2 linked regions of the Diceros bicornis minor genome follow. The protein of the gene in region 1 interacts with the protein of each later gene in a biochemical or structural test. Links are inferred from orthologs where the notes say so. Each region holds a gene or a part of one and is shown on either strand. Other genes may lie near its edges.

Evidence for each region.
Region 2: the proteins of SHANK1 (region 1) and CACNA1D interact in a biophysical measurement, tested with the Homo sapiens proteins (2 studies listed by IntAct, with this or other methods). The link is inferred for Diceros bicornis minor from reciprocal best matches to the Homo sapiens genes SHANK1 and CACNA1D.

The regions. Positions count from the first base shown.
Region 1 is NC_080773.1:25,832,877-25,836,476, reverse strand, and holds the start of SHANK1 (SH3 and multiple ankyrin repeat domains protein 1), read left to right. Parts: upstream 1-1,339; 5' UTR 1,340-1,573; intron 1,574-3,600. UniProt on the Homo sapiens protein: Seems to be an adapter protein in the postsynaptic density (PSD) of excitatory synapses that interconnects receptors of the postsynaptic membrane including NMDA-type and metabotropic glutamate receptors via complexes with GKAP/PSD-95 and Homer, respectively, and the actin-based cytoskeleton.
Region 2 is NC_080741.1:53,978,543-53,982,355, reverse strand, and holds the start of CACNA1D (voltage-dependent L-type calcium channel subunit alpha-1D), read right to left. Parts: upstream 2,479-3,813; 5' UTR 2,190-2,478; coding exon 2,123-2,189; intron 159-2,122; coding exon 1-158. UniProt on the Homo sapiens protein: Voltage-sensitive calcium channels (VSCC) mediate the entry of calcium ions into excitable cells and are also involved in a variety of calcium-dependent processes, including muscle contraction, hormone or neurotransmitter release, gene expression, cell motility, cell division and cell death.

The DNA of each region.
Region 1 (3,600 bases):
CCTACGGGATTTGCCCTGTCTCTGTGGGTGTGTCCCGGGCACCAGTGAGCTGAGCTGTGAGGAGAAGGTTGGGCATGTCTGCATGTGATGAACGAGAATATGCAACTATGGTGTGCCCAGGAGTGAACAAGAGTAGTGTGAAGACTTTGAGCCAGCCGACTTGTCCCTGATCCTTGGCACCACGTCTTTAGAGCTGGGTGACCTTGGGCAAGTTACTTAGCCTCTCTGTGCCTCGGTTTCCCTCTCTGGAAAAAGGGGATGGTGAAAGTCCCTAGCTCATAGGGTTGGCGTGAGACGTGGATGAGTTAATCCAGAACATAGCCTGGCACACAGGAAGTGTTCAAGAAATGTCAGCTGTGATTATCATGGAGGGGAGCTATGGCGCCGTGCCGTGCATCTAAATAGGCGCGTGCACACCTGTGCGATGGATGGCGAGGGGGGTGCGTGAGAGGGGGACGCATGCATACATCTCCCTATAGTTGCGTGTCTCTGTTTCAGGCTTGCGTGTGAGCTGAAGATCCGAGCATGCACACTCTGGTTCACGCCCGTGTGTGTGGTGGGTAAACGCGTGTGCCGCGCTGCGTGGATGCTCCGGCACACGGGCGTGCTATGTCCCTGTTGTAGCTGAATGTGTCTGTGGTAATGTACACTCAGGTAGGTTGGGTCTGGGCGGTCACGCCCTGCAGACTGTGTCTGTGTGGGCATGTCTGCACGTGCAGGACCAGCTAGATTATGCACCTGTGCCTTGGGGGAAGGTGTGTGTGTGTGTGTCTGGGGGACAGGACAGGAATCTATAGCTCTCACAATCCAATTTGGGGGTGTGGAGTCTCGCAACGAATATTTATTGCGCCCCGCTGTGTGCAGAGGGGCTGCGGAGCCCTCTGGGAAGGGGCGGTCCTGGGGTGTGCAGTGGGGGGGTACCCTCAGGGGGGCGGGGCCCCATCGTCGGGGTTTGGGGGCAAGCAGGGGTGGAGTCAGGGTTCGGCGAGCTGGCGGCGGAGAGGAGTGGGGGGAGGGCAGGGGGAGGGGGCGGAGCCGGAGTCGGGGGGGATGGGCGAGGTTTGGGGGCGCGGGGAGGGGCTCTGTCTCCTCCGCCGGCTCCCGGAGGGAGGGGAGAGGGCGGAGGGAGGGGAGGGAGGGAGAGAGGGAGGGAGGGAGAGAGACAGGGTGAGGGAGAGACGGCGAGAGCGAGGGAGCGAGAAGGGAGGCAGAGGAGGCGCGGAGCGGGCGGCGGCCGCGGCCTGAGGAAGAGGAGGAGGAAGAGCGGGCGGAGACGCGGCGCCGGGAGCCGGCCGGACCGAGCCGGGGGCGGGCTAGCCAGGAGGGGCGCGGCGGCCGCGGCGGACGGGGGGGCGCTCTGCGGATGGCCAGGCCCGGCCCGCGGGGGGGGTGAGGTCCTCGGCCCCCCCGCCCTCCCCCCGGCCCCCGCCCGCCGCCTCCCCGGGCCCGCTCGCCCTCCGGGGCGGTGGGGCATGGCCTGAGGGTCCCCCGTCTCCGGGGGGGTGGGGGGTGGGGGGGAGGGGGGAGGGGCCGCGGGCGCCGCCGACCGGGACTCAGCAGCCCCGCCAGGCAGGTAAGGGGGCCGAGAACCGGGGGCTTTGGGGTCGCCGCGGGGCCGGGGCGGCGGGAGGGGGCGGGGGCGCCCCGGACGTCCTTGGCCGCGCGCCGGGCTCCCGGGCCGGGCGTGCGGTGGGGGTTGGGGGTGAGGTGGGGAGCGTTGCCCTGGGCGACGCCAAATTGGGTTACGCCCCGGTCCCCGGTGCCCCGTCCCAGATCGCGGACCGGATGCGAGGATGCGCCCCCCATCGCCCGCCAGCAGAGACCCCAGCCCCAACCCGCCTCCCCGCGCTCCTGGGCCAAGGGCTCGGTCGCTGTCCCCGCCTCCTGGCCCTGCCCGGCCACTCCCCCGCCTCGCCCGCCCTGGCCCACCTGGGCCCCTCGACCCCTCCTGCGGCCCCGCCTCTCGAGGCCCCTCCCCCAGGTCACCCTGGTGCCCACCCCCCTCCAGGGGGCTCTGGGCTTTGGCCTCCTTCGCCCCCTTCGACCCCCTCTAGCTCCTGCTTCTCCTTCCAGGCGCCTCCAGCCGCTTCCCGCCCCCTTCACAAGCTCCCCCCCTCCGCACCCGGTCTGCTCTCCCTTCCCCGCCGGCCGGCGCGCCCCCTCGGTTCCCGCCCCCGAGTGCGCTCCCGGGTGCCCCCGCCCCCTCTCCCCGGCCCGGGGCTCTCCCCCACCAGTTCCCCGGCCCCAGCGGGGCTCCCTCTCCCCGCCCCTCCCCGCCTCTCTCCGCCTCCATTCATTCTCCCGGGCCCCGCTCGCGGCCACGCCAGCCGCCCCCCGTCCCCCCGCTGCCTCCCAGGGCACCCCCTCTCTCCCCTTCTCCCCCCCCCCCCCGCCGACTCCTCAGCCCGTCTCGGTACCAGCTGCGTGCCAGCTATTCTTAGCCGTGGAGCGTTTGATTCATGCCGCCCCGGCGGAGTGTGCCCGCTCCCTCCCTCGGGGCCTGAGGGGGAGGGGTCAGAGCCGGTCCTGGGGGTTGGGGGCAGCCGCACGCGCGGGGGGACCCGGGCCAGCTTCGCTTTTATCCCCACTGGCCACCCCATTAGTGCCCGGTTGAGACTGGGGGTCAGCCAGGGTCAGCCGAGGGGGAGTGACCCCGGGGTCCCGGCTCCGGAGGTGGGATGTCGAGTCGCGTGGGTAGAGGCCGGGGTCTCCGCCCGGGCAAGGTGGGGCGGCGCTGCTGGGTACTGGAGGGGGAGGGGGCTTCGAAGCCCGGGTCACTCGTGGGGGAGGGGCTGGCCGGCCCGTGCTTAGATGCCGGCTCGCCCACAGCTCTTGGAACTCTCCTCCCCACACACACATTTTGTTTTCCCTCCCCCCACCCCCCAGCCCATCCCCACTCCCCCAAAGTCAGCAGTACCCTCCACTGCTTCCCATCTCCATGGCAACGGTGCAGGAGCCGGGCCTGGTGTGGGGGGGGAGGGACCAGACCAGACATTCTGGTTTCTGGTGCTGGGGTGGGAATGGGGGAGAAGATGAGGGAGGCCGACCCCTTTTGGGACCCACTCTTGTAAGGCCACCCCAGGGGTGAGAATAGTGGGGGTCTGGATATGATCTCCCACCCCAGTCCCCCAGACCCTCACCCCACTTCTTAGCCTCTCTCCCAGCCCCCCCGTCTCCCTCAGTACCAGGCAATGGGCTCCACCCACCCTGCAGTGGCCACAGGTCATCAGCAGCCACCCCACACTGGCCCAGGCCACCACACCACTGCCACCGGACAGCCCTCCCAGGCCGGCCTCCCCACTCAGCCACACACCCTCTCAAGATGCCCCGAGCAACCTGCAGAGGCCACCTCTTGTAGTTCCCTCGGGGGCACCCCGTGCATGATGCTCTGCCCCATGACACCCCCATCTCGGTGCCCCTGGGACACCGATTCCCCAGCAGCCCTCTGCACACATTGTCAGCCACACTTCGGTGAAGTCACTGGCTCCACCCGCTCCCAGGCACCACGCTGCCTCCGGCTCCTGCCGCCCCAGGCTCGCACATGGCACCTCCATCTCCCCCTTACTACATCTCAGCCTCTCACCCCCAGCCATCCAAGGG
Region 2 (3,813 bases), on another chromosome or scaffold:
TGGGGGTGCGGAGGTGCTCATAGTTTGGGCAGCCTTGGCCTGTCGAGCAGCATCGATTGCAGCTTGCCAAGACAGGACGGTCTGCTTGGAGCTATTCGGTTGAGAAGTTGGTCCTTCACCAGAAAGAGGGAGTCTGGTGCTTCTTGCATAGTTTGCCTCTGGGAAAAAGAAGAAAAAGAAAAATTAAAAGAAAAAAACAATGAGAATCCAGTGTCAGAAAAAAGCAAAAGTTGTCTCCCACTGATAGTGGGGGGAATGGTTCCCATGTTTCCACTGTAAACCTCGTGTCCTATTTTTCAGAGGCAGGGGTTTGAGCAGCAAGAAAAGTCTCTGCCCTGAGTGTCAGTCACAAACGACCACTGCTGCGGTATGCCCAGGGGGGTTAGCACCTCTCTACACCCATGTCTCCACAAGGAGTCTTTTAGTGCATTTCTTCAGACAAACTGAGGTCATTCCCACATTTATTCCACATCTTTTCTGACTTTTAAAACCCATGTATCTCTAATGAGTTAACAGATATGTACAACAGCTTTTCTCCAAAATAACTACCACCATCACACACACATACAAAAAGGCAGTGCCAATAATTCAATAGTCTTAATCATTTTCAGGCTGTTACTCCAACATCTTTCCACAGCCACAAATGCATTTTTTTCAGCATGGGAAAAAAAAATCCTCCACTGGCACCAGGGCAATATCAAAAGCCCCATAACAAATATCTAGATTATGCACTGACACTTCCTGCAAATGAAAATTCATGATACTTGGGACTCATTTCCTCCACAGGCTTCCGAAAACAGAAAACATCTTTAGGGCTTTTTTGCATTTTAAATTGCAGCCGCAGCAGCCAAGCCAGCATCCAGAGAAACAGCCCAGGCAGGCGGCCTGCACCCCTACACCTAGGACAGACACGCTGACTGATGCCAGGGGCCCTCAAGGCCTAAGTAGGAATCATCCCAATGTAGGCTGGCATCCAGGTGCACACAGGGCAGAACCCCAACGGGGCTCCATGTGTAAACCCCCTCTAGCTTTGGAACAGGCCACCACCCAGGCAGGTCTCCAGGGCACCTGCCTGGCTGCGGTCACAACCTCCTTACATAGACAGAAGTCAAAGTTAAGAGTAGTGGCGGAGGTAGAGGGAGGGGCGTTTGCTAAACCAATTCTCGCTAAGTAAAGAACAAGAGAGTCAAAGCAAGCACAGGTCGGCCTGCCCAGGAGCTTGAGAAGGGGGCCATGGGGGCGGGCAGTGAACAGTCCAGAGCCCGGGGAGGAGTCGTGCCTAGCCTTCCCTTGGGGAGCGCTCACCCAGCAAGGCTGAGAGCCCACGGGGGCTGTGGGGAGTGCCGGTGACCTCCAAACGGGGCGGGGGGGCGGGGGGGAGGTGGCTGGTCAGGAGCTGCTCCTGCCTCCCTCGACCTCGCCCGGCCAGCGTGGTAAGTGCACGTGGTGCCCGGGCTGGGGAGGGGAGCCCCACAGCGGCAGCACTCCCCGGGCATTGCTAGGTTACCGACGTGTGCACAGCGGCACTGGGAGCGGGAATACGCGCTCCACCCGACCCCCTGGCCGGCGATTCCGAGACCCGGCCTCCCTCTCGAGGGGAGCGGTGTGCTTCACCCACCGGCGCGAAGGGTGAAACCGGGCAATCCTAGAATTTTCCGGATGCCACCAGAGATCGTCTTCCTAGTCAACCAGGGGGCCGGGAGGGAGAAGAAGGCGAGTAGAGGCTGGAAAGGGGGTTTGGGCTGAAGACTAACAGCCACCTCCCCCCACACACATCGCTCGGGAGCGTTGGAGGAAAGTTGAGCCCGAGGACACTGTACCAGAATCACCTCGGCTTGCCGCCCCTCCGGCTGCACAGTACTCCACGGACACCAGGGCCGCCCCCACCCCACAAATGCAGAATTAACTCTGACATTCAAGGCCTGAAGGGGAGAACGGAGTGGCTGTCACGCATCTCCCCTTTCTATGTAGACGACACCGAGCTAGCAGCATCCTCTCCAACCCTCTCAACCCACCCAGCGCATCAGAGACGGGAGGGGGGTGGGAAGGAAGAGGGGGTGGGAAGAGGAGGACCATGACAAGGATTAGTTTGGCAGCGGGTGCCTAGGCTCTGGCTGCTCACCGTTCGCGTGGTCCGATTGCTGCCGCCGTTGATGCTGCATTTTTTTCATCATCATCATCATCATCATCCACGAACATTTATTGAGCGCCTACTGTGTGCAGGGCACTGTGCTGGGCGTTGGGGCGGGGGAGGAACGGGTAAGGGGGTTACCGATAGGTAGGAGCCGCGGTCCCTGCCCTTATTCTCGCTTCAGCAGGGGGTGGGGAGGGACGAGGGCAGATAACAGAAATTAAGAATAATTTATAAAAACCGCTCACCACCCACGCTCTCTCTTTTTCAAAAATGGAGCAAAATAAACTTTTTTTAAAAAATAAGATCAGATGTATATATTATCTTAATAATATATACATGTAATTTTTTGCTGCAAAGAAGAATTGGCTTGGTCCCTCCTCTAGTGGAGGGACGCCGCGGCGATGCGGGCCCGGCCGCCGGGGCCGCTCCGAGCGCCCCCCATGCCCGCCCGCCGCGGTGCCCGGTGCCCGGTGCCCGCCGCCCGGTGCCCGCCGCCGCTGCCGCCCGCGCCGCCGCTGGCTCGGGACCGCGGGCAGCCGGAGCTCACATCCGGGGACGGAGGCGCTCGCTCGCTCGCCTGCTCCGCGCCCGCCGCGCCGCGCCGCACGCCGGCTTCGCCCTGGCGACGCTGCGCGCCCGCCGCCGCCGTCCCCCTCCCTCCCCCCGCCCGCCCCGAGCCTCCCACGGGCCCGCCGCGCCCCAGTGGTCGGCGGCCCGGCCCGGGGCTCTCCCCGCACGGCCCGCGCGGTCGGGGTGGCCGCCGCGTGGGACTCGGGGTGCCGCCACCCCGGCCTGGCTCGGCTGACCCGCAGGCGCCAATGGGTTAAGCGCGCTCCTGCCGCCGGCCGCCCGGTTAACCCCCTCGGCGCCGCAGGGTGCTCTCCCCCCTTTCCCCCACGGAGGCGGGCGGGGCCCGCGGAGCCCGCGGATGCGGTGTGCGGATTAACCGCTCCTCCCCCTGCATGTCTTCGGGGCTGGGGGGATGGAATGCTTAGGCTCCCGCCGCCTGCCTGGGCTCTGCGCTGCGTCCTCCCTTCGGCACACCTGGAGGAGGCCCCGCCCCCTGGGAGCACAGGTGCAGGCGGGCGGTCGTCGAGGGGTTCTGCCTAGCTCCCTTACCGCTCTGTGCCGGGCAAGCGCCCCCCTTTTCCTACAGCTCTTTCTGGTTGCGGGGGGAGGAGGGGAATGGGGGAGTCCTGCTCTCTGGAGAGCGCTCAGTGCCGGGGTAACAGCACCTTCGGAGCTAACCGGGTTTCCAGAGCCTCCCCCCTCCCATCCCCGCCCATCGCTGGGTCTGGCGCTTCAGTGGGTTCTAAGACGGTTGGGAGGGGTAACATCCCTCTGTCCCTCTTCCTCTCTCTACCCCCTTCTCATCCCTTTCTCACCACCACCCCCCCACATCTGTTTGGAGGCAGGTACAGGAAAGTAAAAGCTAAGGTCTTTCAAACCGTTTGTGTTGCTTAAAGGAATAGGTAGTGCTGCTGAAGCTGCTGACTCCCGTGTGGGAGCTGAGGAGAGTAGTTTGTTTTCTGGTACCTTCATTGTCATGTTTGGGTTGAGGAGTTTTGCAAACGGAAGCTCTTGTCTAGAGGGGAAGATACTGTATCTAGTGGATGACTGATATTTCTCATTTAGCATTTTGCTGGCTATTGGAGAAAGGCGTCCGCTTTGTTACTTCA